Lytechinus pictus: one gene and its partner. The protein of the gene in region 1 binds, or shares a complex with, the protein of each later gene. Links are inferred from orthologs where the notes say so. Each region holds a gene or a part of one and is shown on either strand. Other genes may lie near its edges. The genes, in order: histone deacetylase 3-like and G protein pathway suppressor 2-like.

What was found.
Region 2: histone deacetylase 3-like (region 1) and G protein pathway suppressor 2-like share a complex: the UniProt entries of both Homo sapiens proteins name them as parts of the N-Cor repressor complex. The link is inferred for Lytechinus pictus from reciprocal best matches to the Homo sapiens genes HDAC3 and GPS2.

The regions. Positions count from the first base shown.
Region 1 is NC_087255.1:32,548,927-32,565,473, reverse strand, and holds the start of histone deacetylase 3-like, read left to right. Parts: upstream 1-4,275; 5' UTR 4,276-4,353; coding exon 4,354-4,411; intron 4,412-6,044; coding exon 6,045-6,127; intron 6,128-6,388; coding exon 6,389-6,613; intron 6,614-7,211; coding exon 7,212-7,324; intron 7,325-7,785; coding exon 7,786-7,919; intron 7,920-8,470; coding exon 8,471-8,625; intron 8,626-10,039; coding exon 10,040-10,194; intron 10,195-11,485; coding exon 11,486-11,544; intron 11,545-13,020; coding exon 13,021-13,100; intron 13,101-15,719; coding exon 15,720-15,880; intron 15,881-16,547. Other genes in the region: uncharacterized protein LOC129271199, read right to left, coding at 3,858-4,100. UniProt on the Homo sapiens protein: Histone deacetylase that catalyzes the deacetylation of lysine residues on the N-terminal part of the core histones (H2A, H2B, H3 and H4), and some other non-histone substrates.
Region 2 is NC_087258.1:9,337,582-9,353,790, forward strand, and holds the start of G protein pathway suppressor 2-like, read right to left. Parts: upstream 8,160-16,209; 5' UTR 8,076-8,159; intron 3,190-8,075; 5' UTR 3,138-3,189; coding exon 3,044-3,137; intron 2,002-3,043; coding exon 1,895-2,001; intron 1,080-1,894; coding exon 958-1,079; intron 1-957. Other genes in the region: large ribosomal subunit protein eL22, read left to right, coding at 14,123-14,131. UniProt on the Homo sapiens protein: Key regulator of inflammation, lipid metabolism and mitochondrion homeostasis that acts by inhibiting the activity of the ubiquitin-conjugating enzyme UBE2N/Ubc13, thereby inhibiting 'Lys-63'-linked ubiquitination.

The DNA of each region.
Region 1 (16,547 bases):
TAAAGAAGGAATAAAGAAGGAACAAAAATAAAGAAAGAAGGAAATGAAAAAAAAAAGAAATGAAGGAAAGAAATGAAGCAATACAGAAAGAAAGAACAAATCTAGTAAGTAGTAAAGGAAAGAAAGAAGAAGCAATAAAAAAGAAAGGAAAAAAGGAGAGATGGAAAGGACAAAAGAAAGAATGAGAGGAAGGAAGGATTGAAAGGAATTAAGGAAGGAATAAAGGAAAGGTAAAATGATAGATAGAAGTAAATAAATAAAGGAAGGGAAGGAAAGAAAGAAGCAAGCAATATAAAAAAAGAAAAGGTAAAAGAATAGATGAAGGAAGAAAAAAAGAAAGACTGAGAGACAAAGAAAGGAAGGAATGAAAGAATAAAGGAGAGAAAGGAAGCAAGCAGTAAAAAAAGGTAGGTGAAAGGATAGATTTAACAAAGGGAAAAAGGAAAGAACAAGACAGATAGAAGAAGAATGAATGTAAGAAAGAGAGAAAGGGCTGGAAGAAGGAAGAAATAAAAAACAAGAAAGGGTAAATAAATGATGGATGGAAGGAAGAAAGAAACAAAGAGAGTAACAAAGAATGAAGGAGAGAAAAGGGTAAAAATAAGGAAGGAAAGAAAGGAATGAGAGAAGAGATGAATATAGGATGGATGGACTCAAGAATTAAAGAAAAAAAAATATCAAAAAGAAAGAAAGGAAGGAAGAAAGGAAGAAAGAAAGAACGAAAGAGAGAAAGGAAGGGAGGGAGGGAGGGAGGGAGGGAGGGAGGGAGGGAGGGAGGGAGGGAGGGAGGGAGGGAGGGAGGGAGGGAGGGAGGGAGGGAGGGAGGGAGGGAGGGAGGGAGGGAGGGAGGGAGGGAGGGAGGGAGGGAGGGAGGGAGGGAGGGAGGGAGGGAGGGAGGGAGGGAGGGAGGGAGGGAGGGAGGGAGGGAGGGAGGGAGGGAGGGAGGGAGGGAGGGAGGGAGGGAGGGAGGGAGGGAGGGAGGGAGGGAGGGAGGGAGGGAGGGAGGGAGGGAGGGAGGGAGGGAGGGAGGGAGGGAGGGAGGGAGGGAGGGAGGGAGGGAGGGAGGGAGGGAGGGAGGGAGGGAGGGAGGAAGGAAGGAAGGAAGGAAGGAAGGAAGGAAGGAAGAAAGAAAGAAAGAAAGAAAGAAAGAAAGAAAGAAAGAAAGAAAGAAAGAAAGAAAGAAAGAAAGAAAGAAAGAAAGAAAGAAAAAGAAAGAAAGAAAGAAAGAGAAAAAAGAAATAGAGAAAAATATTTTTTTAAAGGAAAGAAAGAATGAAAGAACAAATTAAAGAAAAAAGGAAATTAAAAAAAGAAAGACAGTAACAAAAAAATGAAAGAAGAGAGGGAAGAAACAAAGAAAGATTGAAAAGAAAGAAGGAAAGAAAGATAGGAAGAAAACAGAGGAAGAGAGCTAAAACTATCATCAAATAATTTATCAGTTTCTTTTTGGCTCAATTAAAATAGCTACGAAAGAAAGTCAGAAACCAAGTGTATCAACACACACATAAATGCATATGTGGGGCTATTATGTATTCAGACGCTATCACCCGAAACCCGATCTGTTTGAACCAAAACAGAAGTGAAAATTTCTCCTTTTACTGCTTACAAATGACAGAGTTACTCCAATTTTTAGGAAATATGGACATTATAAGAGCCTTTCATGAGTATGAACCGTGAATTTTGACAGTTCTTGTGAGATATTTCTGCCAGAGTTTAGCCAAGCTTCGTTCGCGCAGCCAGTAGAGAATTTACCACGTGGGTTGTGTAGCTGGCTACATGTACACTGTATGCTTCTCTAGTGTGTGTATTCTGTGTGTGAATGACAGAATTTACCGGGGGGAAATGGTTTGCAGTGAAATTTGACAATTTCTGGAAAAGTTATTGGCCCAACAATGGATTTTATTACTGGTCATGTCGGACCCTTAAATCTTGCTATTTTTGGAAAAATTACTGGCCCGACAATGATATTTTTTACTGGTCATGTCGGACCAGTAAATCTTCCTATTTCTGAAAATCTACTGGTCCGACAGCGATTTTTACCGGTCTGGGACCGTCGGACCGCCGCTAGTGTCGAGCCCTGAGTACACCTTACAAAAGGGATGGAGAGAAGACTTGACTAGGCACAACATCAGCTGTTCAAAAAAATCCTTGGTCTCCTTAGAACAGCAGCAGATGAAGTCATCTTTCTTCTCACTGGGCTCCTCCCTCTTAGTTCTCAAGTTGACCTTGAGAAGCTCCTCTTGATTGGACAAGCATTGTCATTTTTTAAAGCATTTTTAATTTTTTTTTTATTTCTCCTCGTACACAGACTGCTCACAAAGGTGCAGCCGCCATTAGGGGGTTTGCAATATAACCCCCCCCCCCCAGCGGGGATCTATTATTTTTTAGCAAATAAAAAACATTTAAACAAAAAGTACTGCACCTATAGCAAGATTATTATTCCGGTTTGGCCTGAAATGCACCAAAACGGAAAAAATAAACTTATAAGGGAAAAAACCAGTGACTTACTTCGGCTGTTGTCGCGCAACTCCCACTTAAATCCGAACTTAATACATAAACATATGGGCATTGAGTCCCTGTATAGATCAAGTTATAACTTTGAAGTTTCTAGCTTTGTGATGGTTATATTTAAAAACACAGAGCCACAAAAAATGACAAAGCAACCATCCTCCCATAATTTCTGAAGTACACCTTAGATTTAACATTATACCATATTCTATTCCTCCTATTAGATTAGAATTCTAAAGTAAATGAGAGGAAAAGAAAGAAAAGAAAAGAACAATCTTCTTCTTCTGCCTTTTCTTCTTCCAAGTTCCAGTCTGATACAGTCCGCCACTGGCGTATTATTGAACCTTGGAATGGATTGAGTTGGAAACTAACTTTAGTACCGTACTAGTAGTCTCTAACTTTGTTGTATGGTGGTGTGACCTTAATTCATGCATTACCTAATTTTGTGCACGGTAGAATCCCAATATCGAATCAAAATCTTGAAAAACTGATATCACCAACACTAAACAGATGCAAAATTACTTGGTATGGTACCGTAATTTTCTTGAAGGTAAGGTCTCAATTTGTGAAAATATTGGCAAAACATCTGCAAATTTTGTTACCATTTGCTTCCGCTCCGAGAAAATCCAAACTTCTCGACAAGCTTCCAGAAATCGCCAGTTTGCAAGCAGAGGTATCCAAACAAGTATAAAAAGTAAAATGATATACTTATAGTTATACCAACCGAATTTATAGCATTTTAACCTCCATCTAATACTATTACCTTTGTCTGCTTGATTTATTTTCGAAAGCTTTGCAAAACGATCGTGCGCAAATTAAGGTCACACTTTTTATGACACTTTGTTAGCCGAGCGCACACTACTAGTCGATCGTCATGGAATTTGAGATTGCGATACCGGCGAAACCCTGGCCTTGGCTTGGCCTACTTTATAATTCTGTCAAGCTAATTTGACTTTGGGATCTTGCCTTCCGTTTGGTATGTATGATTTTGATTAATTTTTATGTGAACTGTGTGTGAGAAAATTTGATTGAAAATCAACTTCATGATAATTTTTAAAATGTCCGCAAATTATGGTCGGTCACCCCATCATAATTTAACTTTATTTCTTAAACAATATAGGGCCTAGTCTGATTTCATTGAGATAGAACAAATGTTAAGTCTAACTCTAACTAAGTGAGACCACATGGCTTGCCTCCCATTAGAATAAAAGTACCCTGTTCAATTGTTGCGCAATTGCGCCTCTGCTCAAGTGCACGTGCATGATCAATATGTACCATCACGTAACATCAGATCTGCACCCCCGACGTTCCGGCAGCAAACTCCTGTCGCTCCCGCTGTGAACACTTACCCCGGGCACGACGTCAATGCTTTTGTACTTGACACTCTCGAGGAGACGTCGGAATTCAACTATAACTGGAACACACGTTATTTCTTGACTTGTTTTGCTATTTTCGATGCATTTTTCCGTTGACAATAGATCACTTGTTGTACCCTCAGCTGACTTAGTAATTGCTGGTCTGTTTTTACGTCGTTTAAATGTGAAGCTTGCAGTGCTTAGTCGCACCGAAATTGATCCCAAGGGCGCTGCCATCTTTATTTTCTAAACAGGCTCTACATGTAATATTCATTTATTATTTAAAAGTCTGGTTTGTAAAACCTAAAAAAAGGTGATATAATTGTAAAATTTTACTTAATCTTATTTGTATATTTACATGCAGATGGTAAGTCAGCAAATTAATTTTCAAAGTTTCATTAATTTTCCCAATGAATTCATACCAAGAACACAATTTAGTTGGAATGATTGAACTTCAATTGAGACTCCTATCGACTTATATTGTTCCACGATGTCGAGTAAAACAATAGCTTATTTCTACGATGCAGATGTCGGGAATTTTCACTATGGTTAGTCAAAGGTGGATGGATATGTATGATCTGTATCAGGAGCTTTCATGCAGTTAAAAAGAAGTTTTATTTATCATAACATTGTTTGGAGCTGGAGGCGGCCGCGGCGAAGTCATCCCCCATCTCGCGCACTCCATTCAATCACGAAACAAAGAACTGGCAGTGGCAACAGGCAATGAATGATTTTTGGGGGAGTGAACGTGTTGGAATGGATGGAAGGCCAGCCCAGGTCATGGCCGGGGGGTCACGGCAGCTGTTGCCAACATTTTTATTAAAAAGTCATAAATTGAGTCAAATGATAGAGCAAATGAGCCTGCGCTATATTCAATATTGGTCTGGGTGTGGGGGGGGGGGGTGGGTCAGGGTGGAGGCAAGTTGCGAACAAATTAGACAGCTGGCAGCCGTCTGTTTCGAGGAGTTTTTTAACATTTTTTTTTTTTTTTAATTTCTCCTCATACACAGACGGCTCGCTAGCGTGCAGCCACCATTAGGGGACTTGCAATGCAAAATCCCCCCGTCGGGGCTCTTCAATTTTTGTCTTTAATGAGTAAAAATTTTGAAAATTCACGCGACCAAAATGCAAATTGATATTCCCTCTTGGCATCAATTGCCAAAAAACGGAAAAAAATCAAGTTAAAAGGAACAAAAATAGTGACTTACCTCGGCTGTCGCGCAAATTCACTTCCCCGTTTTATCCGATCTTAAGTACATAAACATATGGCCATTGAGTCCCCTGTACAGATCGCGCTAGAACTTCAGTCTCTGTATTTGGTGAGTGAAGCCAACGGAGTTCAGCTGAACAACCAACATAACAGAGACCGAAGCTTTTGGTCTACGAACAAATAAGTCTTAAGCCTAAGCTCAGTCACTTACACACATGTGAGGTTAGTATGCTGTACTAACCTTGCACAATGTATGAGTTTTGACGATGGACATGTAATTTGTCCTCGTCTGTCACACGAATTTGGGTTGATAAACATGCCAAAATTTTCCCCAAAACAACACAAGTTTTAAAAGCAATAAGAACTAATATTCTTACTTTTCACCCAGTTTCACTTCTTTTCTACGCTTCTATCGGTCTCAAAATTGGTGATTTACATATTAATTCACTGCCGATTCCAAAGCATCGCAAACGCAAATTGCGCGGAAATCGAAGCTCAATTAATGAATATTCAACATGATAACATCGAGATCGTTTCGCATATGCATCAGATCAGGACGGGTTATGTGAGAATACTTCTTAGTTCGGGCTATCAATCTTGCAGCAGAGTTCTGTATTACTTCAGCCATGTTACAAAGCAAACTATTACAAAAATGCAAGTGACATGTCACGAGAGCCTGAACAAGTTTCTTTGTTGTTTTAGAGTCCAAACACAAACATATCTTTCCAAGTTTACTTTCCAGAGACAAATATGTCCAATGCCATATGCTGATCAAACAGAACACCCATATTTCTGGCCAAGACACTAGGAACAATAGAAACATCTTAATCAGGGGAAGTTGTAATCTTCTATGAAATCGAGATGCTATTTGTAAAACCTCTGTTTTCTCGTCATTTAGTTTGAGACCAGTTAGAATTGACCATTGCTTTATCTCTTTTACTTACTTTATCTCTTTTACTTTTACTTCTCAGGTCCTGGTCATCCCATGAAACCTCACAGATTAGCACTCACACACAATCTAGTACTCAACTATGGGCTCTACAAGAAAATGCAGGTAAGATCTCCCAACCAACTCATTTTAATGCCCTTGAAAATGCAAAATGATCTCTTATCAGTTGTAACTTAACCTTGTCATAGGGAGGATTTTAATGTTGTTGAGTTTTAATAGAATCAGAAATCTGTTTGACTTAGTCAAAATGTGTTAATAATGTTTTGATCTTGTCTGAAGAATTGATTCAGTGTAGGTGACGATTCAACTTACAGAAGGTTGACTATCACAGACTTAACTGCATTTTTTTGTTTGTTTCTGTTCTAGATTTACAGGCCATACAGGGCCACAGCTCACGACATGTGCAGATTCCATTCAGATGACTACATCGACTTTCTACAAAGAGTGACACCTCAGAACATCCAGAACTTCACCAAGAGTTTAAGTCATTTCAACGTCGGTGACGACTGTCCAGTGTTTCCAGGTCTCTTTGACTTCTGTTCAATGTACACTGGGGCATCGTTAGAAGCAGCAACCAAACTGAACAACAATGTGAGAATTTAAACATATTTTAGTATATAAATGAATACATGTTAGTATAGGAAAGTGATTTTTTTTTTTTGGGGGGGGGGATGGTTTTGCCTTTTGGTGTCCCATAAGAGAACAATATGTAATGTATATACAGTTTATGAAGCTTGTCAGCTAAGATAACTGTTTATTCTATGACAGTCCTGATTGTAACAGTTAGAGACCAATGCTTTCCAGCCAATCAAAATCAAGGATTTCACGGAAACTGTAGGCCTATAGAGATAGGATGTTGACAACTCTCTGACTTCTCCACCAGTGTACTTCTCATTTTTATTGAGACTATTATGTCAGACTGTACTATATATTTATCTCATAATTTTCAGGAATGATACCAATATTAAAAATGTTGTGATTTTGAGCAACATGTTTTGAAATAGATTTTGGAAGAATCATGCTGGGGCCAATTTGTGAAATCTCTATGTTATCTTTTCATCCCTCTTCATGTACAATATCTTTTTTTATATCACTGATTTAATTTTTATGTTTTTATAGTGGGAATAAATCTGAATTGTATTGAATGGAATTGAACTGTAAATTGTTAGAAAATTTGTTTCCATTGCAGCTATGTGACATTGCAGTAAACTGGGCTGGTGGGCTTCATCATGCAAAGAAGTTTGAGGCTTCCGGGTTCTGCTATGTCAATGATATTGTCATTGCTATTCTAGAAATTCTCAAGTAAGCCATGTTTCTATTTGATTTACGATCTTGAAAATAATCTTGTTCATAGGTTTTGTATCTTTGCTTAACATTTTTGAAGTATTGTTATCTTAGTAATATTGTCAGATTCAGAATTTCCTATATAATTAAAGTTATACATTTAGCTTAAGACATAGCAGTGCTAGCATGCCCTTTTCCCCAATCTGCTGTATAACAGGTTGTACAGTGTATCTTATTATTTTCTCAGCTTTATATGGTGAATCATGAAGAAAATTGCCTTTTTGTTAATACCGTTTTATATTTGCTGATATGATAAAGATGAACAAACAATGTAATTTCATTTAAGCTAGATGAACTACATCATAATTCTTTCAAATTAAATCTTTTCTGTCATTTTTCAATTCCTTTTTCACATAACTTAATCATCATTGTGCACATTATTTCATGAGATTCCCCATTCTTGTTCCCTTCTCTGCTAGATACCATCCTAGAGTGCTGTACATTGATATAGACATCCATCATGGAGATGGTGTTCAGGAAGCATTCTACCTCACAGACAGGGTCATGACAGTATCATTCCATAAATATGGCAATCACTTCTTTCCAGGCACAGGTAATGGGCCTGTTTCATAAAGAGTTACAACTTTGGTAACTTTGCCATTATGGCAACTACAGTGGTAACAGGGCTCAGTAGCCAATCACAATCAAGGCTTTTATGTGAGTTACAATAATAGTACAGTCACCATAGTTGTAAGTATTTGTGAAACAGGGCTAATGTGTAGGTAAAAGGCGTGTAATAATGAGTATACTTATTATTGTAAATCGATAATCAATAAATGGGGTATATTCATTTTTTATTTCATTCAATTCCCAACTCTGAATTTTCTTTCCCATCAATTGATATGTATGATGTAGATTCCATCAAGTGGTGTTAGACCAAGTGGATATTGAACAAAATGGGTAGAGCCTAACTGGAAATAAGACAAAATGCTAAATGGGAATAATGATAATTAGACCAAATGGTTAGTAGACAAACTGGTTGTAGTAAAAAAAACTGGTTGTAGGTTAAGTAGGATTAGACCATCTGGGGTGAGACCAAACGCAAAGTAGCGCAGCGGTTTTGTAGACCAATCAGCAGTTTACTGTTTATTTCTTTTCTTCCAGGTGACATGTATGAGGTAGGCTTAGAGAACGGGCGTTACTACTCCATCAACGTGCCTCTCAAGGATGGCATAGACGATCTCATGTACTCCGGTCTCTTTAAACCAGTTATACAGAGTGTCATGGAGTTCTATAGACCTACGTGTATAGTCTTGCAGGCAAGTCTCTCAAATTCACTTTCAAAGTGTAGATCTTTTTATTCTTATGCATAAAAAACCCTCAATAAATACACATCAAGCTATGCTGCCAACTGTGAAAAAAAAATCATTATTTGTTATGAAACTGTGACAGGAATGAAAATAGAAATAATAAAAGGAAAAAAGAGGGGTGAAAGAATTACTTGCGAAGGAATATGCATGATATTGTATCCAAACATTTACACATTAAAAGATAAATACCAGTTGTGGTAATGATCTCAAAATGAGTTCGAAGAGAATCCAATAAAATGATCACCCAAGTCTATGTATGTATAGATAAAAATATGTGATAAATGGCTCTGGAAAAAAAGTGCAATTGTTGAGAAATGAGCAAAATATTCCCAGAATTCCATAAAATGTTGGGTATTTTTCCAAGCAATATTAATACACTGTCCCACCTACTCCCTTTTGTGTTAGTTATCATTAGAATTATCGGTTTTCAGCTAAGATTTCATGATTTCACAAAGATAAGTTGATTTCAATGTAACAGATCTAGATCTATGATAATATGGTGGTAATTTATCTTGATTTTAAAGGCTTTCTCATGAAATAATTGTTTGCTGCAAGTACTTTATTTTACCTTTAAACAATGTAGAATCTAGTATACATGAATTTAGTAATAGAAGTGACTAGATTGTAGAGGAAAGTACTTGTGCATTTTTGTTGCATGAGGATGGTTAGGGTAAGGGTTAGAAATCAAAGAAATTGTATAAAAAAATTAAAACAAAAAATGTCTGCAAAAAAATGCAAATTCTGATGAAGAAATACCAATTTTGGAGGTACAGAATGAATATTGGCTATTTTGAAGGATGGCAGCTCTTTATATGTGTATTCATTTACATTCCATCTGACAAAGAAGTTAAGAATCTAAAGGCCACTGCACATCTTATGACCCGACTGGTCTACGACTGGCCTGTGACTGAGTGAGGGGAGATGTGACGTCACAGCTCTTGTCAGCTTGAGAGTCGCAGACCAGTCAGAGACAAGTCGCAAGGAAAATTGTAAGGATTTGACATGTCGAATCCTTATGACTGAATCGCAAGCTCAATCCAACTTCCAGCCAATTAGACAGCAGAGTTGCACGACGCGTATATGATATACATCGCGCATATGCTGTAGTAATTAAGCGCCATTTTCTCAGTTGCTATGGCAAAAAGCAAAAAGCGCATGCGTGAGTCACAGACAGCATGGTATTTGGATCGCAAGGTGTGCGGTGTTGAGGCCTATGACTACCTTGCGATTCATCTCTACTAACTCATTCGCAAGCCAGTCGTAGACCAGTTGGGTCGTAAGGTGTGCGGTGGCCTTAAAGCACCAACTGACTCCCACTTGTTAATCTCATTTCTAAGATGAATCTTTGTTTTAATCTCGACAGTGTGGAGCAGACTCTTTAGGCTGTGACAGATTAGGGTGCTTCAGTCTCAGTATCAAAGGCCATGGGGAATGTGTAGAGTACGTCAAACAATTTAATGTACCCCTACTAGTGATGGGTGGGGGCGGTTACACAGTCAGGAATGTAGCAAGGTGTTGGTGAGTATTGATGTCTATCTTTTGAGTAAGCAGGTTCCTAATTATTATTATTTATTTATTTATTCATGCATGTCCACAATGTATAATGTAAAAGAATACACAGATAATATATAAGTATATATAAAACACAAGTAAATAATGAACATACAAGGGTGTTGCAACATAAGCTAAAAGCTTGATTGGTTGAAGCACCTTTAAACTGGTTTTGCATCCTAGAAAACAAAATAAAAATGTAAGAATAAGGAAGAGAGGAAAGAAAGAGAAGAATATAAAAGTGATAGACTGCCAAGATATAACAATTAAGTTTCAAGTTGTTATGAATATATGTAATAGTGATTCAACAATGTTAACTTCTCAATCTTCAGTTATGGAGAAAAGAAAGAAAGAAAACAAAATTACTTACATGTATACGTTACTAGCACTTTACAGATCCTGTAATTTTGGAAGGAGATTGTGCTTTACAGCCAATTTAAAAGAATGTGAGGTTTTCAAATTTCGAATATTATGTGGAAGAGAATTCCAAACATCTGATCCACGGTGTCTGATTGATTTATGAGCTAATGCGGTGCGGGGATTAACCAAATGTATGTTCGATGACTGTCTTGTGCTATATGAATGGACAGTGCTGTTCCTAAGGTTCCTGATATGTCTTCATAGTTTTTTATATTTTTTGTTTTCAAAGATTTTGATGTCGTTCAGTATTATTATCTATGATATATACTACTTTATTGTACTGCGTGTAAGGGAACTAATTCAACAGGGCCACATTGCCTTATTTTTTTAAGTTTCCATTTTTTTTTCATTTTCAACTGATAAATTGGTATGTTTGAACCATCTATGTCTTAATTGAAAGGCATTGTAGGGAAATTCTGTGGTTTTTTAGATGTATTTTATTTATATCAATATGTATATGATTGCATGTATTTTATGGATATTGTAATGACCTGTTTTTTATGTGAATATGAAAATGAACGATCAAACAAACAATTATATTTCAAAGCATTGTGATTTATTGTATATATTGAAGTTTTCACTGTGGGGTTTTCTGTATTGTCAAGAAGTGAGAAAGCAAATAAAGAAAGAAAAAAAATGTATCCAGTAAATCCAGTCAACCCTGTATCTTATAGTCCAGTTACTCTTTTATATATATTTTGAATATCAGTCCCACAAGTAATATATTTCTTTTGTAGAAGTGTATTTTGAAGAAAGGAAATAGAAAATTTGACATTTTTTCACCTTTTATTTATATAATAGGTTAAGTGTTAATTTTGTTAAATTGTGATTTTTACAGGACATATGAAACATCGTTATTACTCAATGATGATATCAGCAATGAGCTTCCTTACAATGGTAAGTAAAGTGATTGCATTATCGGCAATTACATTAAATAATCAACTTTTATCTTTTAGTCTCCCCCACCCCACACACACACTTGTCCCTTTTATCAATTTTTGAATTTTACTTCATAAACTGTTCAAGCCATAATTTTAGAGCTTTACAATATTTTGTACGAACTAGGAAACACGCAGATCATTTCAGAAAGGCCGTACACGCAGGTAATGATAGTTAAACATATTTATTTCCTGGAATTGACCTTATGATTCTAAGAAAAACAAACTGCTACATGTAGCTGAAAATTGTGAAAATAATATTGCTACATAGAACTGGCAAGTACATGTATATTCAAATGTTACATAATTATGATATTGTATTCAGGGTATAAATGCATAAATTTGATGTTTATTGTATAAGGCCTTATGATATTTTCAAAGCTTTGATACAGAATATCATTTGTGATTATCTAAATGATGGCCTTAAAGATAAATGAAAGTAGTTGCAGTAAACACTGATTTCACGAGAAAGTCTGTAAAACCAGGCTTAATCGTCACTCTATCATCGAGGATCTAGATCTGGTACAGTTACATAAACTCAACTTTGTGAAATCTTGAAATCTGCGCTGAAAAATGTTCACACCGAAGATCACCAACACAGATAAGCGCACGTGGGACAGTGTATTATTTTTGCTTTGAATGTCGGCCCGACGCTTGACCCGAATCCCGTGCTTATTTGCTAATTTCTCAGCAATTACACAATTTCTTCCAAAATCCTTTGGCACATATTATTTATTTATACAAACAGACACTTTGGTGGTCATTTCATTGGATTCTGTACGAACTCATTTTGAAATCGTTACCACAACTGGCATTTATCTTTAACAGAAGTGGTTGAAACCATAATGGGTGTTGGGGAGCGGAAGGTTAATCCCCCATCTAGGTTTTGAGTGCGCATTACCCATGTCCATGCCTATGATAAATTGATTAGATTCATTGTTGATGCAAGCTGTTAGATAATAAAGAAGGGGAAATAAAACTAGGAGGGTGGGGATTAATCCTCCTTTATGCATTGGGCCTACATCTATATGTCTTGTTTTCTTTTTTCTTTTAAGTTACTCCAAAATTAATTCTGTGCGGGATCAATCTTAAAAGAAAATAGGAGGGAAATTAAATCAGGAAATGGTATAACAAACCACTGTGGGAAATTGAGGTCTATATATGTGTATGTCTTTTATTTTGTTTGAAATTATTCATCATTATTTCTATTATTTATGATAATTAACTTTAGGGATAACATTTATGTTATTGTGCATGAAGTATAGAGTAGAAGTATGGCTACACTATATGGCTAATTTGGAAAAGTGCCAAACGCTGATACTTGGAAGGGGAATAATTGATATTGAAGAACTTCTGAAGTCTGAATGAATTGATAAATGAATGACTAAATATCCAATCTTGATCCTTAATGATCGATTAATTTCATTTTCTTTAGATTACTTTGAGTACTTTGCTCCAGATTTCACATTGCATCCAGACACCACAACTAGAATAGAAAATCTCAACACCAAAGCAGTAAGTCTTGTGTTACTTTTCACAGAATTGTTGCTGATTTTTCTTTTGTAGTTCCTCTTCTCTTCTGTCAATTCGCACTATACATGTATTGTTGAGGTCGCAATCAAACAGTACACAACATTTGCTGCAGTTGGAGAACAATACAAACGAAGCAAATGATTGTAAATAATGACTAAGAAGTGAAACTCGTTAGCTTTTGAATATATACAAATCTTCACTTCCTATAGTTCTTCGGGATATCATGCAATTTTATTTGTATTGAGTGCTGACTTTGGTTCAGTATAAAAACTCATTGGATGTGTGAATTCGGACAGAATTGAATTAAAGAAATGCAGTCCAGTTTGTTTTCCTTATCATTCCTCATTTTGTTAATTGTGTGATTTCAGTGGCATTTTTTTTAATGATGCAGTGTGTCAGTGTAGATTAAGTTATGAAAGATGAGAGTGCTTATTTTGGTATTGAATCGCCAGCTGATAAAGCAATTTGTACAACGCCTACTTAGCTTGTTGTACGCAAGCAAATGGGAGATTGAATGTCAAACATTCGTACTGTTGCACACACGACGTACCATTCAAAATGTACCGTTGCACGGCTTTAGGAGGTGACGTCACAATATGATTTTATTCATTGCGCTCAGTAAAAATGAAGGTGCAATACGCATATAGCCTGCTGGCTAAATGCGCAATGCTGCCCAAGGTCATGTGGGCTTTTGCTTTTCGCTTTCAATATTTTTGCTCCCTTTTCATAGATTACTGCAGGGAAAAACTCTCATTTTTTTCTTCATATTTTCACAAGATTCCGAGGCGTTGTACAACACAAATAGCGAAGATTCATATTCGTGCAATGGTGCGAGATTTCGCATTCGATGAAAAAAAGAAACACTCTATTCAACTCGGCTAACGCCTCGTTGAATAGAGCATCTTTCTTTCACCTCATGCGAAATCTCGCACTCATGCCTATTCGCTATTTGTATATTATTGTCCCTTATGAATAATCATCAATATTCACTTTTCAAATTTGCTTCCATCTTATACAAGCAAATGGACAATGTACATTCAAAGTCGTTAGGTTAGAAAATTTTGACTCTATTGACTATGTTGTTGGTCGAATTGAGGATGCCAGGGTTTCACAGCCTGCTGACATTTTGAGCTGGGTCTGATATTGGGAAAATGTCAAGACCCCTGTTTGTTAAAATATGAGAGATGATGTGTAATTTTATCCATTGAAGCGTTGACACAATATTTCACATCTGTATCGTGATTGCCAGGTCATATAAGGGTCATTCCATGCCAATTCACCCAATGAATGTGCAATTTTGCACCCGACCCTCTTGGAATTCGTTGTAAATTGGTACACATAAAATTCACCATGGCCCACGCACAAAACAAAAAAAATAAGTCCAATTGGTCCGTCGGTTCTCGCGCTTCGGCCCGCCCTTTTCTCCTTGTTTTGACAAAAATGGGCGTGACCTTCAACTTTCAATGGCCACTGCGTCGTAACGTGTTGACCAATTTTCATGAAACTGGTACCATTTATTAGGAAATTCAGAGAGGAATCCAAAACATGCATCAAATAATGTATTGGAGCGATTTATGAGGTCGTTAACTTTGACCTTGAGTTTGACCCCCGGACAAATAATTTTTTAACTTGATTTTCGTGTATGGTAATTATTAGTATGATATTGACAAAATTTGTTAAAATCAATGATGATATTTTATTTCTTCACCTTTTAAAACTCTTCCAAAGATACCATGAAATTTCACTCTAGTCCTACATACTGATATTCATGTTAGTAAAGTGTTTACCAGTTACATGATTTCTTCCAATCTTAAGTTTCAGTATGCGTGCACATGAAAAGAAATTAAGCTCATCAGTTCACAAATGAAACATTAAACATTTATGCTCATAAATAGGTATCTGTTTAGGCATTTTGATGTTCAGCAATATATATTATATATATATATATATTCTTGTTAGTAAATAGGCATATACTCAACAATTTGATGATAAAAGTAAACACTTTACTAACAAGAATATATATATATATATATGATATATATTTCTGAACATCAAAATGCCTAAACAGATACCTATTCATGAGCATAAATGTTTAATGTTTCATTTGTGAACTGATGAGCTTAATTTTTTTTCATGTGTTTGCATACTGTAACTTAAGATTGGAAGTAATCATGTAACTGGTAAACACTTTTACTAACATGAATATTAAACTCAAGGTCAAACTCAAGGTCAAAGTAAAGGTCAAAGGTCACAACCTTATAAATCGCTCCAATACATTATTTGATGCATGTTTTGGATTCCTCTCTGAATTTCCTAATAAATGGTACCAGTTTCATGAAAATTGGTCAACACATCACGACGCAGTGGCCATTGAAAGTTGAAGGTCACGCCCATTTTTGTCAAAACAAGGAGAAAAGGGCGGGCCGTAGCGCGAGAACCGACGGACCAATTGGACTTATTTTTTTTGTTTTTTACGTGGGCCATGGTAAATTTTATGTGTACCAAATTACAACGAATTCTGAGACGGTCGGGTGCAACCACTGGGTGAATCCAGATGGAATGACCCATAACAAGAATTTCTCTGACGTTGTTTTCCCACAGTACATTGACCAGGTGAGGCAACAAGTGCAGGACAATCTTAAGTGTATAGCTCACGCACCTAGTGTACAGATGCAGGATGTTCCTCCAGATCTTCTCAGTCTAGAGAATATTGAAGAACAAGACCCTGATGTTAGGAACAGTACCAAGGAACAAGATGAGAGGTATGACCTATTGATAAGCAGGGACCTGGGAAGCGGGGGTGCTGGGGGTGCTGCGTGTATTATTTTCCACAGGCAGCACCCCCACGAAAACATGTTCCCTTTGTATTTTTTTTATATATGTTATGTAATGTACATAATTATCACATCTGACAATCGCAAATCATTTATAGTCTTTCACATATTCCAATAATATAACGCGACTCGATCAAGCTCCGGCACTCCGATACAGGCGTGGTCGCGCGCGATACGTGATAACCATAGTTTACACACTACTCGATAGCAGGGAGGTACATGGGTGTGGTTGGACTTGAAACTTCCAGGTTTTATGTCGAATCAAGACAGTGTGCGCGCGCCCGAATTACAAGTCAGACAATAGAAATCAAATTTCACGGTCTTTTTCGCCCTGCCCCATGGCCCTGGGAAGCGGGAGTTGCTGCATGTGTTATTTTCCATAGGCAGCACCTCCTGGAAATCTAGTGGTAAGTTGATAAATGACAGAAATGTAATGAAAATGAACGATGTTTTGTAGACCCCCCCCCCCCCACTTCAGAATTTTCTGATGCAGTACTTAAAATAGTGTTTAAATCCACCCTTTTTCATTATTGATTTTTATAATTAAAAAATGTATTTACAATGCCCAGATAGGTCTAACTCTAAACACGCGCAC
Region 2 (16,209 bases), on another chromosome or scaffold:
TTTTCCCATGATACATTGCGAATTTCAGCCTATTCGCTGCAACCGATAGATGGTGCACAGTATTGTGAATCCACCGAATTGAGTGTGCGTTACAGCACTTGCATATGTGTTAACATACAATACTCTAAGGTAAATTTCTGGAGATGACATGTTTATTGATTTATATTTGAAGGGTACAAAGCAGTATTTTTCACTAAGTCTGAGGTACTTGGGGCTGATAATTGGTTAAAACTACATGTAAAACATGTTATCTTTATTATTCTCATGTAGAACTATTTTGAATTTTCCATTCAGATGACTAATAGAAATAAGAATTTCAACCTACATGTACAACTGTAAGTGATGACAAATGAAATGATTGAGGATCTAAGCCCCCAAGAAAGGATTGTTAGTTGTGCGTAAGTCATGTATAACTTACAAACAGCTTTATGAAACAGTTCCATTAAATTTTTACTCCAACAGCGACAATTGCTCCGATGTAAATTCCACAGGCTAATGGAATGACCAACTTCGACCCTGGAATTAATAACACCATACCCTATCCTAAACATAACCCTAAACCTATCATAAAACCTTATTGCTAACCCTAACCCAAGCCATATATATTAGATGAAATAAAGTCTGGAGCTATCGTTGCCGGAGCAAATGTGCGTCGTCTATAAAACACCCACACTGCCACCTATTACAAAGAGTTCCAACAGTCAAACTTAAATTTGTGATTGATCTAAAAATCTGATCTCTTAACTAAAATAGATCAGTTGTGATTTGAGTTTAATTTGTTTCCATCGTAACTCTTTATAAGATGGAGCCCTGGACTATACAACCAAAAAATGTTAAAAAACATTACAATTTATAAGCCTTCCCCAGCCCACCCTATCTGCAAAAAAAATAAAATAAAAAATAAAACTTTCAAGCCAACAGTCAGTCACCAGAAAATCAGAGAGATTTTTAACTAACTTCTTCTTGCTTTCTTGTTGTCTTCTCCTGTTTTCATCTTCATTCAAGACTTTCTTGAGTTGTCCAAAGAGCTCATGCTTTTCTTGATGGAGAGTTTTCAATTTCTCCTCCAAATTCTTCACCTGAAAATGAAATAAATTCCATGTAACAGGTCAGTAACTACTTACATATAACATAAGTACCAAATTTCAGTCACCTGATGTTAGATATCCCTGAAGAATATCTATTATTGCTAGGGTATTGTGGATCCATCAAGGATCATGCATGCACATCTGGCCCTGGAGAAAATATGCTACCCTGTGCAACAGGGAGAAAAATATATAATTATATATATATATACACATATATAAATAATTATATATATTTTTTAATTTTCTAGGGCTTCTTTTCACAACCTACTGCAAAAGTGAATGGGTATTTTCCAAGGCTCTTTTTAAAATATATTTCCCATAATTTTTTTGAGCACTTTTAGGGCAAATCAGCTAGAACCCTGTGTAATTTTTTTTCCCTGCTGTGCACTTTTAACAGTGTATGGTACAAACACAGAAATACACAACAATTCACCAGTGTCGGCCGCACAAAAACATTGTTAGCCTAACAGGGCGCAAACAGTAAGCCCAGTCACATCTTTTAGATTGTGAAGTCAAAACATTATTTCAATGTGTAAGTAATGCATTGTTGTAACATGAGGCATCTGTGCCACATTGACGGTTGTAACAGGTCCTCTGTTAGTGCATTGTTAGTGCTAACAACATTTTTTTCCATACCGAGGAATACATGTATATCAAGTAAAAGATTTTTCATGAGTTTTCACAAAAAGCTGACAAATTACCAGACTTTTCCAAATTTTCCTGACCTTTACAAATATTTACGATCCCCTCTCATTGGAAAAAAACAAACATTTATTTCATGAAATTGTAATCCTATGATCATGTACCTGTTCCTTTGTCTCTTCCAATGACAATGTCTCAGCTTCTTGTTTCTTCCTTAATCTCTCTTGTTCTTGTTTCTTTCTTTCTATCGCCTTGTCTGCTTCTTCTTCCTCTGAAATTGAAAAAGAAAACATTGTTCAGTTCAAATCACTTCTCATAAATACCTAACCAACTGATCAAATTCAAAAGAAATGTGATATTTGTCAGTCATGCATTGAAGAGAAAATAATCCATTCGGAAAATACTCTTGTACTTGGTGTCATTCCAGGGGGGTGTTTCACAAAGATTTTAAGTATGACTTACACGTAGGTAGCACTTAAATGCCGAGGCGTACAAGATATGCAATGTGCAATCTTATTGATCAATACGCAGTAGTTCGCTTCCTAGCATGATCTGACCAATGCGGTCATGCCTTTTATACCACACACAGCGAGGCATTTAAGTGCGACTCTATGTCATACTTAAATCTTTGTGAAAAACCCCCAGGCATTAAATGTCTATATATCTTTAGGGCAGGGCCCCTTTTATAGGGCACCTTTCTACATCTCAATACAAATGGAATACTTCAAAAGAGCACAAATAAGACCAAGATCAATAAGATAGGCATAGAGATCAATCGATAGGGCATCCAAGGTCATGGCTTTAGACAGTCACGGATCAATTTAAGCCCTGTATCACAATAATGAATAATAATAGTAATGATAATAATAATAATGATAACACTAATAATGATAATAACAACAACAACAATAATAATTATAGCTGGATATATATGAGCTTTTTGCCCGAGGATACAAAGCGCTTGCAAATATTACCTCGGCTTTAGCTCGAGCTACCATCACCGGAGCTCAGTGCATGCAAGGAATTAATCCTGCTGGGTACCCATTCACCTCACCTGGGTCGATTGCAGCAGTGTGGATAAATTTCTTGCTGAAGAAAACACACCATGGCTAGGATTCGAACCCACAACCCTCTGTTTGAAAGGCGAGAGTCAGAACCACTAGACCACGACGTGCCCACATGTTTGTTATTTACATCCAATAAAGAGACATGTCAGAAATTTACATTACTCATCAAGTGTGTTCTCTATTTTTATAGCTTTGGTGCATAATGCCCAGAAAAAAAAAGGGTGGGTTGTGGGTTTATGGACTCACCTTGGCGTTTTCTGTCTCTCTCTTTGACGACGTGCACCCGGAGGGCTGCAGCCATAGCCTTGCTGAGTTTGGGTCTCTCCAACAGAGCAGGCATGGTGCTTTTGTTATGGTTGTTCGCCAGGTCAAAGGTCAAGGGTGGCAACAATCTGAGACAAATAATAATTAAATGCAACATTTATATAGTGCAGTGCTTAATATGTTTCTAAGTGCTGCATACTATTACCATGGGGCAGGGGCGCTCAAGCATTAAAGGAATTTCTTCCTACTGGGTACCCATGTACTACATCTGGGTGGAGAGTGTCAATCTAAAAATGCCTTGCCACTGGACGCCAGTGCTACAGTGAGATTCAAACCCCAGACATTGTGGTTCAATGTGTGGAGACTTATCCACTGAACCACAACACCTTTTCAATATTATAAATTACTGTAGAAGGGAGTGATTGTGGAAAAATCTAGCATAACAGAAGGGTAGAACACCCTGACCAATAGTTTGCTGCAAAAATTCAAGAAGATATAATAACAAGATATTGGTGAAAGTTTCAGGAAAATCTGTCAAATATTATGAAAGTTATTTGAATTTGAAGCTTTTGATTTGTGATGTCATACGAGCAGCTACAATATTCATAAACTGCATAAATTTCAATGGTTCATGATGACTACAAATTTTCTTCTTTTAAAAGTGTATGTGAAATAATTTGTCTGTTGATAATGATGAAGGTACAATAAAACTCATTTTCATTTTCTGAGGAAATAAAATTTCATTGATTTTTGTAATTCACGATACATAGTAAGCTGCTCGCATATGATGTCACAAATAAAAAAATAATATTCTAATAAGTAATAACTTTGGAAATCTTCGATTTTATTTAAACCTCCACCAATATTGTTTTATTATTTATTCTGCTATTTTTACAATAAACTTTTTGTCAGGCTGAACTTTCCCTTTAAGTTTTTATCAATTCTGAGAGAAAGATAATTCAAATACCGGTATTTTATATATTCAGCTTTGTGATAAGTCATGATAAATGATTGTAGAAGAAAGTGAACTTTGTGACAAATATAGTGAGTGATTGTATTACCGACCGGCAGGGTTGTAATAAAAAACGTTTTTTATAAAAAAAAAACAAATAAAACGTTTTTTATTGTTTTAAAACGTTTTAAATCGTTTTAAAACGTTTTTTTTCCAACGAACGATGTAATTTTCCTGTAAATCAATTAAATTATACACTTAATACAATATGATTTAAGCTCTTGATGTTTTAATTACATTTTTGGAGTATTAAGAGATGACTACAATTTTTGTTACTGAATTTTCAACAGAAAAGTTCATATTTTTCCCAAAATTACTAAATCAAGGAAATTGAATGCCAAAAAATTAAGTTGACATTTTATAAGTTTATTCCTCATACATGTAGTCTCAGGTTTTTTTTAGTCTTATCAATCTATAGGGGTAAGAAGAAGTTGCACTATGTAAGAAAACAACATAATCTATAGACTATAGGCTTTCAAAGCTTAATTTCATTTACTCAATATGCTTTATTTCATTTGTATCAATTATACAAATTTTAAGTAATAATAATGATAATAATAGTCCGCTTTTATATAGCGCTTAATACATTGGAACGACGTGTCTAAGCGCTTTACAGATATATTATTAACGCAGTCATCGGAATCAATCAGTCATTCCCGCACACAATGTATGCACATCCTCAACTCCCTGGGTAGTATTTCAGTCAGTCGCTAGTGAGGCGCACACAGTACTGGACAAGCTACAATGACTTTCACATCCTACCGGGTACCCACAAGTGCATGAAATATAAGTTTGGGTTTAAATCTATAAATATTAGGCCCTTGAACTGCTTATTTCTTTAATTGAGGAATTTTAATCAAATTGTTTTTTTCAATGTTTGTTTTAACTGTTTTTTTTTAAATTTCTTATGTACAGTTTTGTGGTTACTTTTGGGTTTTTTTATCGTTTTTTAATGGAAATTATTGGCAATAATTTTCCAATCATTAACAAAAAGTACAAATATTGATACAGATAAAATGTTGGCGAAAAATTTGCATTGGCTTTACTTGTGTAATATCATGGAGCTATCAATGTGTTGATAGCTCCATGGTAATATCATAACCGCATATCCATGCATGTATCCAAAAAATAGTCTTGAACAATATGGCGTGGCCCTGCTGTTCTTATGGATTTATCATAGACATTTTTAAGGGGGCCATTACAGTCCCCTGGGATTGTTAGGGTTAAAGGTCAAATCCACCCCAGAAAAATGCTGATTTGAATCAGTAGAGAAAATTCAAACAAGCATAATGCTGAAAATTTCATCGAAATCGGATGTAAAATAAGAAAGTTATGACATTTTAAAGTTTCGCTTATTTTTCACAAAACATTTATAACAACTCAGTGATGTGCAAATGAGGGAGTTGATGATGTCCCTCACTCACTATTTCTTTTGTTTTTTTAATTGTTTGAACAATAAAATATTTCAATTTATACAGATTTGATAATAATGACCAACTTAACTGAACCAAAAAATGTTAAAACAATGGTAGTTCCACTCATGTTCAGGGAGGAAAAAAAAATATATTTCACATGACAATGAGAAAATAACGACGTACAAAATAAATAGTGAGTGATGTCATCAGTCCCCTCATTTGCATACCAACCAGTATGCGCATATAACTGTTTTGCGAAATTAAGCGAAACTTTAAAATGTCATCACTTTATTATTTTACATCCGATTTTGATGAAATTTTCAGCATAATACCTTTTTCTTGGGGTGGACTTGTCCTTTAAGGTTTGCTAGCTGATTATCTTATTCTGAATTAAACTACTTTTCTTCATCTTTACAAAGCGCAAAGTTTCACCTACTTTCGTGTGTACCTCAAGGTTACAATGTCAGTTATACAGTCTATTTGCAAAATATTATTGTGCTTGTGCAACACTTCCATTTCATTCAAGTACTACTATTACATATTTGAGCTTAGTTTAAATAGTGTTTCTTTCCCTGTCTAAAAGTGAGCACAACACTCAAATGCTTGTTAAAATGAGAATATATAGATTGATCTACATAATTGAACAGGAGAAAAGGAACATGACAAAGCAATGGAAAAGGGGAGAATAAGGGGGGAAAGAGAGAGGAGAAAAAGAGTGGTGGTGAGAAAGAGATTTAGTTAGAAGAAAATAATATACCACTTAAGAAAAAAAGTATAAAAAATATATTCATGTAAAATCACATCCATGCATATTTATAACACACAAGTCTATGAGGTGTTTTAAAACACGTTTTTTTTGTAAAAAAAACGGGTGTTTTAAAACGCGTTTTAAAACATGTTTTAAAACACACCGTTTAAAACGTGCCAACCCTGCCGACCGGCCTTGTATTACGGAACGCGCGCATCATACGCATCAGAAAATAATATTACGCTCAAAATTTTGCAACATCCTTCCAAAGAGAACTTGAATAGAAAGATGATGAAAAATTGTAAAAAACCCATTTTCAAAGTCTTAATATTCTTAAAATAATAAAATATGGTCAAAATAGCTCATCAGTGATTTTGTTGTTTTCTCAACTTTTCCCATAGATAACACACGTTCGGTAATACGATACCTTTTTCAAGTGACCCAAATATTTCACATGCGAAGAGGGGTCCGATTGGAAGCTAATATCGTAAAAAGGAAAAACGATTTCGGCAAAATTTTTACATATTGATATTTTGTAGGTAATTGTGTATTTATGGTGAAAGTTTGGTGAATTTCATGAAAATAATGTGTTTGATATGATTGAATTCATGAAAAGTGTTCGGTAATACGATCCACTACCATACCTAGGCTAGCATTAGACCAAAAGCTTCGGTCTCTGTTATGTTGGTTGTTCAGCTGAACTCCGTTGGCTTCACTCACCAAATACAGAGACCGAAGTTCTAGCGCGATCTGTACAGGGGACTCAATGGCCATATGTTTATGTACTTAAGATCGGATAAAACGGGGAAGTGAATTTGCGCGACAGCCGAGGTAAGTCACTGTTTTTGTTCCTTTTAACTTGATTTTTCTCCGTTTTTTGGCAAATGCCAAGAGGGAATATTAATTTGCATTTTGGTCGCGTTAATTTTCAAAATTTTTATTCATTAAAGACAAAAATTGAAGAGCCCCGACGGGGGGATTTTGCATTGCAAGTCCCCTAATGGTGGCTGCACGCTAGCGAGCCGTCTGTGTACAAGGAGAAATTAAAAAAATAAAAAAAAGTTAAAAAACTCCTCGAAACTGGATAAGTATTGGAAATGTGAACCTGTGAAGTACAAGTTTGACGCTGACCCACCAGGACATGATCCGGCCAACCTAAAGAGGAGACAGAATTTGGAACTGAATATAGAGTCTTAGACTGCGTTCAGAAGCATCCATAAGTATCCATAACTTAAGTAAGAAACAGACGGCTGCCAGCTGTCTAGGCTAGCATAAGAGCCTATTTTAAAATATTTTCAAGTTTTGATATAAAATCTCCCATAAACGAAAAGTTCTCTCCTTCTACCCAGTCTCGATCGGCCATTTTGTTACGATTTTTAACAAAAATGGCCGATCGAGACGGGGGTAGGAGAGAACTTTTCGTTTTTTTGAGGTTCCAGTCTGTGCCCAGACATGCCAGATGTCAGGAAACTGCCACTGCACTCGTTAGACCTTCATCCATATAATCGTGGTAGTTGTATACTTTCTGTTTTTACAATTCATTTGGAGAAATATTTAGACCATAAATCACCCTAGTCCGGTGACTATGGTCAAATACACGGTAAGCTCCTGGGCTCCCTGGGACTGGGTTAGATTGGAAGCAGACCCAATTTTGCATCATTCAATCAATTATTCATAGAATCATACATGTCATTACTACTAAACTAAAGTAACGCCGGTACCGGTACCACGCCGGTGTAAAGTAATCAAATCGCTCACGGAATCTAAAGCGACAACATTAAGAATAAGATGTTTAAGAATAGCAAGAAGAAGAAGAAAAGAAACAAAGTGCCAACTTACTACATAGGGCCTACAGGAAATCAAAACTACAGTACCGGTACACACAGTTGCAGTACGTGGGCGGCCTGCCTACACAAATATAATACCAACGAATGAAGCTGGCATGCAGGATCTCGATCAGGAATTACCGGAATTAACGACGCAGGAATGCCAATTCGAAGAATGTCAAAATCGTAACGACCAGTGTAAGTAATGTGCCAAAATATTTTTTTCGAGAAAATCTAACTTTGAAAAATTAATCAAATCAAAAGAAACGATTCAGTCTAACTTGTGCTTTATTATCTTAATCAGGAACAAGAGGAGTTATATGTCTTTTCCCCTCACCTCTACATTCAACTTTCAACATCGTTATAGTCAGCGTGGCATCGTGCCGGCGTTTTGTCCCAATCTTTTTCTTTTCCCACTTTTTCATCCAGAATTTCTTCTTTTTATGTGCATTTTTTACGATACAGATGAACTGACTGTTAAGATAACAGTAAAGAAGCCAGGAGCGTTATTTACTTTGCATTACCGAAAACCCGATCTATTTCCAAGCATTCCAAGAACCTGTATCTGTTATATAGGGGGGGGGGGGATATGGATATCAAAATATTTTGCGATATGACCGGCGATAAGAAAAGCTCCTCTATCCTGTCCAGGTGGCTTCAAGAAAATATAAGAAACGCCTTTTTACTTCAATGGGGACTTCAAAATGGTGAATTTTCCAATATATGTAAATAGGCAAAGTACGGAAAAAGGGGTGGGATAACTTCAAGAGCCCATGCAAGAGGGTAAATAGGCTTTGATGTGCCAGGACTTTTCCCTATGTAGTTGATAGAGAAAAGGCTCTTCTATCCTGTCCAAGTGGTTTCAAGAAAGTAAAAGTGACTTTATGATACAGCAGAAACGCCAATTTGCTTCAATGGGGGCTTCAAAATGGTGAATTTTCCAATTACATATAAATATAGGCACTACGGAAAAGGAGGGTAGGCTTTGATGTGCCAGGACTTTTCCCTATGTAGTTGATAGAGAAAAGGCTCTTCTATCCTGTCTAAGTGGTTTTCAAGAAAATAAAAGTGACTTTAAGGTACAGCAGAAACGCAGAAATCAATGTAGCATAATGCTGAAAATTTCATCAAAATCGGATGTAAAATAATAAAGTTATGGCGTTTTAAAATTTCACTTATGATCATCAAACAGCTAGTGATATGCACAACTCAGTGACATGAAACAGTCGATGATGTCCCTCACTCACTATTTCTTTTGTTGTTTGTTGTTTGAATTATACAATATTTCATTTTTTTACAAATTTGACAATAAGGACCAACTTGACCGAACCATATATTCAGTGGCGTAGCTAGGATTTTTTCCTGGGGGGCACTGGGGGTCCTTGCTTTTTCAGGGGGGCACCATTTTTCTGTGTGTGTGTGTCACAAGGGCGGATCCGATTCTCGCCAATAGGGGATATGGGGCACGAAATCATCTTCACCTTTCTTTTCTCCGATCAGTCACTTCTTAGCTTTATTCTTACAAAACAACATAAATATAAAATAATCTAATTTGCCCTACATAAAAAGTGCGAGCGCGAAGCGCGAGCAATTTTTGTTTATTTTCATGTATTTTGTCCTGGAAATTTTAACATTCTGGGCAATGTTTGTGATCGTGAACAAGATGTATGTAACTACAGTGCGTGAAGATAATTACTGCGAATGCCAAGCGCGAGCAGGAATGTTTAACAAATGTTTTAGCATATGATCGAAAAGGGACCTGTTCGTTACCCACGAAGACGGTACATATGCCAATATTGGGAGCGCGAGGCGCGAGCTAAAAATTCTTGACATGCCGACCTAAAAAATAGTCATTCTAAGAACTTTTGTAATCATAAATGGGATAGGTATGTAACTAACAATTGATGCGAGCGCGAAGCGCGAGCGGAAGAAAATTGATATTTTAGACCTAAAAGCGGGACACTCTATTCATATTGTGTAAATCATGAATAGGATATGGCTAATTGGGTATCATCAATAAAGCGAGCGTGAAGCGCAAGCAGACAATTATTGATATTCTGGAACTGGATAATTTAAGCACATTTTAAATAAAGAACATGCAGGCTATCTCAATAAACATGCGTGTGCATGTTTTAGATTTAGACCTAGAATCTGGGCATTCTGAATACATTTTTTAATCATGATTCATGAAGATCAATAATGCAAGCGCGAGCTGAAAACATTTTAATATTCCGATCTGAAAAAGGTCAATTTAAACACTATTTCAAGCACTGTGTAGGAAAATTGTGAAGTGGATATGGAACACACTTAATGAATGATGCAAGAGCGAAACGCGAGCTGATGTTTTTTTGTTATTATTATAACAAAGGACCGGGACATTCTAAGGACATTTTGTCATCATATGAAAATTATTCCTAAGCTTGTCGATATTCCATTCTGAAAAGACCCAATTTAGTTATTAGGAATTCATGATAATGTTATTTTCTTATTTGTTAATCTAATATGCGTTAATGACAGCGTGGAATTCGTTGTTTATAAGGCTTGAAAAATTGAAATTTTAAGTATTTTGTAATTATGAATACAAGGAATTAATAACAATTAATGCGAGCGCAAATCGCGAGCTGAATTTTTAAAATAAAAGATAATGAAAAGGGAGCTTGTTCGGTTATAGAATTGATATAGAGTATATACTCACAAATCTAAATGCGAGCGCGCTAATTTGTAGACCAACGCTTGACAATCACATCTGAAAATTGATATTTTTATAACTTTATTGGACACACGAAGACAATTGAAAAATCATGCAACCACGCAGCGCGAGCTTAAAATATTGATATGTAGACCATAAAACGGACATTTTACAGAGCACTTAAATTTGTAAATGAAAAAAAAATGAAAGCTCGAGCTAAAATATGTTTTGTATATTGACTTCAAAACTTGTTATGTTAAGCTCCATATCAGCCTATATTGCGCAAGTAATGAATCTCATCGAACAGGTAATTCGAGCGCGAAGCGCGAGCGAAATTTTTATATTGTAACATGAAATATTTTTGTGCAAGTCTTCCCATCACATTATTTTATTCATTCGTCTTCCTCTTCTATTTTCCTCTTCATTTTTCCTTCTGTCTTTCCCCTTCTTTTTCTTTTCTTCTTTCTCCTTTTTTTTCTTTGCTCCGGCAATTTTTTCAGGGGGGCACACCAAATCTCAGGACCCCCCAGGCCCCCCCCCCCGTAGCTACGCCACTGCATATATTAAACAATGCTAATTCCACATGTTTGGGAGGAAGTAATCGTTGTTTCACCTGACAATGAGGAGAAAATTAGAATATTTCATTTTTCATATAATAAAATACAAAAGAGATAGTGAGTGAATGACGCCATCGGTCTCCTCATTTGCATACTGACCAGAATGTGCATATAACTATTTTGTGAAACTAAGAGAAACTTTAAAATGTCATAACTTTCTTGTTTTACATCAGATTTTGATGAAATTTTCAGTGTTATACTTGTTGGATTTTTCTCTTTTTATTCAAATCAACTTTTTGTTTGGGTGGACTTGTCCTTTAACTATTTTTGCCGAATACCTCTCTTTTTAAAGAATATTTATGATTCCGGCAAGTCAATAGGTCAAAGTTATAGCGGTTGCTGTAAAAATATTTCAGTAGCCTATAATTATAACAAAAATTTGCACCTTGTTTGTTGAATTGTTTGCCTTCAAAACATTTTAATGCATTACATTCTAATACAAGATAGCGCAGCGTGCAATTAAGAGATCGACTGTTAATCCATAGACATCTTAAACATAAATTTTCGATCTCTCTTTCTGTCGAATATAATGATTTTGGCATTTTGTTTGTCTTCCAAAGTAATTATCTCCGTTTCTGAACGGCCAGTGGAGCAATATGAATAAAATGTTGTTTTATTTCTGATCATCCCATTTCTTGTTTCGACCCCGATTGAGGGGTAATCATGACATTGAAGAGAATGTCACGTGACCTCATTAATGATCATACGTGGAATCAGTGGCCCAGATTCTGAACTCGGGTTTATCATAAACCCTGGTTTAGATTCCTCACAGGCAGGATGGTTGCAGTGAGCTAGTGGGCTAATCATTACATTGAACAGAATGTCACGTGATCATACGTGGAATCAGTGGCCCATATTGATCTGAACACGGGTTTATCATAAACCCTGGTTTCATTAACTGAGTAATAGTTTAATGGAGAGCAAATTGCGGCACAAATCTCTATTAGAATGTTCAATTATTCATTAACTCTTATGACGCTAAAAAATCATGTATAACTGTTTCAGAATGATAACTGAAATATATTTAGTTTCATAATTATGAAACATTAAGGGAAACAAAATCGTAAATATTAGAAATATAAGCAGAATTCTTGACTTTTTGGCTCCCCATAGTTTAGCACAGAGTTAAAAAGAGGGAACTGCTTCAAAATGTGGATTTCACAAGTGAGCAGACGAAACGAGTGAAAATAATTATGTTAGGCATATAATGCATACCTATTATAGTCTGCTGTGCAAACCCTTCGCTCGAGCATAAAGGGTCTGAATGTGCAGCCTACAACGCCCTAGGCCCAATGTATGTGCTAGTCTTTTTTGTGATAAGGGTCTCTGCCTGCAGACTACCTATTGATGCCAGAACAATCCTAGGAATCTCGAAATAAAACCATTGACCTGTGGGCAAAAGTGGAAAAAAAAATCATTTTTTAAATATTTTTTTCATAGTTCAGAATTTTATGCGCAAAACGCGCTGAAAATGACAATTTTGTATGTTTGATAGTATAAAATTTAGTGGTTTCATAAAGGGCTTTTTAATACTTACTATAAAGATAAATTGCATATCATAAATTTTTCAATTTTTTGAAAATTTGTTGATGTCACATCTCCACTTTCCTTTTTCTTATGATACAACATGCATAGGCGGCGGAAGCGGGGGGACGGGGTGGTGGACCTGTCCCCCCTAAATTTGAGAATTTGAGGCGGGGGGTGGCCCCCCTAAATTTTTAGTTTAGTTTTTTTTTTTTTTTGCTTGTCAAATTTTTTTTGGTGACCCCCCCCCCCTAAAATTTAGGTTGATAACTTTTTTTTGCTTGTCAATTATTTTACCTGTGTCCATCACAAAATTTCAGGTGGGCCCCCAATAAATTTTTTGGCTTCCGCCGCCAATGATAGCAAATCATAAATGTTTCATTTTGTCATGTGTAAATGATGTTTCTCCATTATAATGAAATAAGAGTTGCGGCAATAAATAACTAATGCACTTAATCAGTTGTCTTAGTTCTTGGTAGAAAATTTTTGAATAAACCTAATTTTATATAGTAAAATACAAATAAAGAACAAGTGGGGAATATGACATCATCAGCCCACCTAATGAATATTCAGCATAAGGGCATGCCTAGAACAGTAGAACACGATTCACAGGAATAATGCAAAATTCAATAACTTTGTTATCCGATTTTGATCAAATCATTTCAGCGTTTTGCTCTGTGAATTTTACTCTATTTATTGAAATATAAATATTTCCAGCCTGGACCAGCCCTTTAAACTTTGTTGCCCTGAATATTTTCACTGGGGGAGATCCACTGATCTCTCCCAGATTGATATGTCCCTGATGGTGATGGTTTGGATAATGGACACGAGCTCAGTGTATAAAGTACTCTGATCGATCTAACAAAAGTTAGCTGTACTGAGAATTTTCGGGGAATTCTCTCTATACACAAAAGAATATTTAGGAGGAGGATCTGCAAACAAAACTAAAGATTAGTAGATTGGCCACGCAATAAACGGTTCCGGACGAGCAAGGAGGGAGCTACCTTCAATTCTTTACTTTCATTCAATTTATTTTATTTTTTATTATTTTGAATCTTACATTTTAAAAGTATTTTTGAATTTATTCAAATTATTTTTATTACATAAAAATATTATTACATATATTACACAAATTATTTAGCTGTTGTATTCTTACTCTAACAAAATGATAACCTTAAATCAAAATCTTTATTGCCAAATCGGCCTCTTTTAATTGCATTGCTACAAACCATGCCTGGTGTAAGTAGTAAGGGCGTCAAAAACGCTTAAATTGGGCTTTAATGATGAAAATTATGATTAAAAAGTAATGAAATTTATTTTGTTAAGAGTATATAAGAAGAATGATTCCCTCATATTTGTTATCTACTGTTGAACAAGAGTAATATAATGATGAATATAACCAGGTGACTCCTGATAAATGAGCCGCAGAATGATTCGTGCGTGTAATGTGTTGCGGCATGTATTAATGCGTGGGAGACGTGTACCGTGAGTGGAAAGTGCGCGCTAGCTGTGTGTGCCTGTGGCGGGCCTGAGTGTAGTGTATGCATGTGCCAGTTGATCGGATGACATGATCATCATGTCGTGAAATGATTGGAGCTTGTGTTGTATGACTATGATGTTGGTCCCAAAGTCTGCACACCTAACAATTTTAGTTAAGATTTAAGATGAATTTTTTTCTATTTAATAGAATCTTTCAGTTATGTTCCTTATATTAAGTGTACCAAATATTAGACAGGAATAACCGTTTCTGGGGATTTATTCAACAATTTCTGACATTTTACTGTAATCCCCATTTACCGACGGTAGGGTGTACGTGTAGGCTCGCATGTGTTCTCATTCCCTCCCTTTTGTCAATTCACAGTCCAAAGTTTGATGTAATTTTACACATCGAATTTACAATCTAAGGATGTATAGGCCTAAACAACAAACTTTTAAAACTTGATATTTCTATGTTTAAATACTTTAAACGATATAGATGAAAAAGGCATGAAAAATATACTTTACCGATGTTTAATTGGGTTGAACACGATAAAAATGGTCAAAATGGCAGCCAAATTATAAAATATTTACAAACGAACGTCAACAATCACGAATGTGATATCGATATTGCTTTCGATATTATACGATCTGCTCCATATGCGAACGAAACCGAAGATAAACGATACTAGTTATACTAGTACTAGTACTAGTTATAATCGCGATATATCGATTCGGGACATTAAGTTAATAACGATAATGACGTCATTCAAGATGGCAACTTGCAAGAAAAACCGTCAGGTCAGGTGAAAATGTCTTAGATGACAGATTTCTCAATCATCCAGAGGATTTTTTTCAATAACTCCGGCCCAAGGTATGCAATTACTTAAGTTATTTATATTTCCCTGATAATGGAAACCATGAAACTTTCAATTTTGCTTAAAAAACAGTTTTAAATCGCGATCTATAAAACGCTAGTTCACTATACGTTGGCTGTAGGTACGGGGCCCCATCCCCTTCAGTCTATGTATGGTGAGTGGAGCCAACGTAGTTCAGCGGAACAACCAAAATACAGAGACTGAAGCTTTTGGTCTAACCAAATATATGCAAATACCTCATAAAAATTTGAAAGAAATATAGGAATTTTTTGGAAAAAACCTTGGGCAGTCATTTTCAGATTGAAATGTGTCTGCGCACCCATTAACTTTGCACACGATTCAGGGATTTTGACGAGAAGGGCAGCAATTTGAGGTCACATGCAATGCCCTAAAGCCAAGGCTAAATTCATTATTTAACTTCCCACCATTTTGAGTAAGATTTTTAAATGGATATCTGTTAACGTATTGCATGTGTAAAGTCTGTGTTCGTTGGCTGCGTATCTTTTACTAGAATCGCGCGTGTGCTCAGATAAGGGGGACTGGGCAGACTTGGGGGAACTTGCCATATTTTGTCTTTTGAGCAAGCCCCTGGGCCTGACAGTAGGCCCTATATGGAAAAGATTGAAAAGGAAACCACATTTATTGCTGAATTTTTTGTTTCTTAAAATAGCACAAAGCCAGAATTCTGAATGTTGGACTGACATTCAATTTTAATTTTATTGTCTTGAAAACTAACATTAGACCCCTTACTTAGCTAGGCCCTAGACTAACATTAATGTTAGACCCAAGTTAAGGGTGAATGCAGGGAGACCAATACTAGGGTGTCTGAAGCCACACTAAAAAGTGTCGGCATAAAACAGGCTGATTTAGGGGAAAATATGGCACATTTTTTCGGGGAAGTTCAGGCTACTAGAAAAATATGATCTGAATTGATTATTAACTTGTGTTTGGCATGTATGGAAA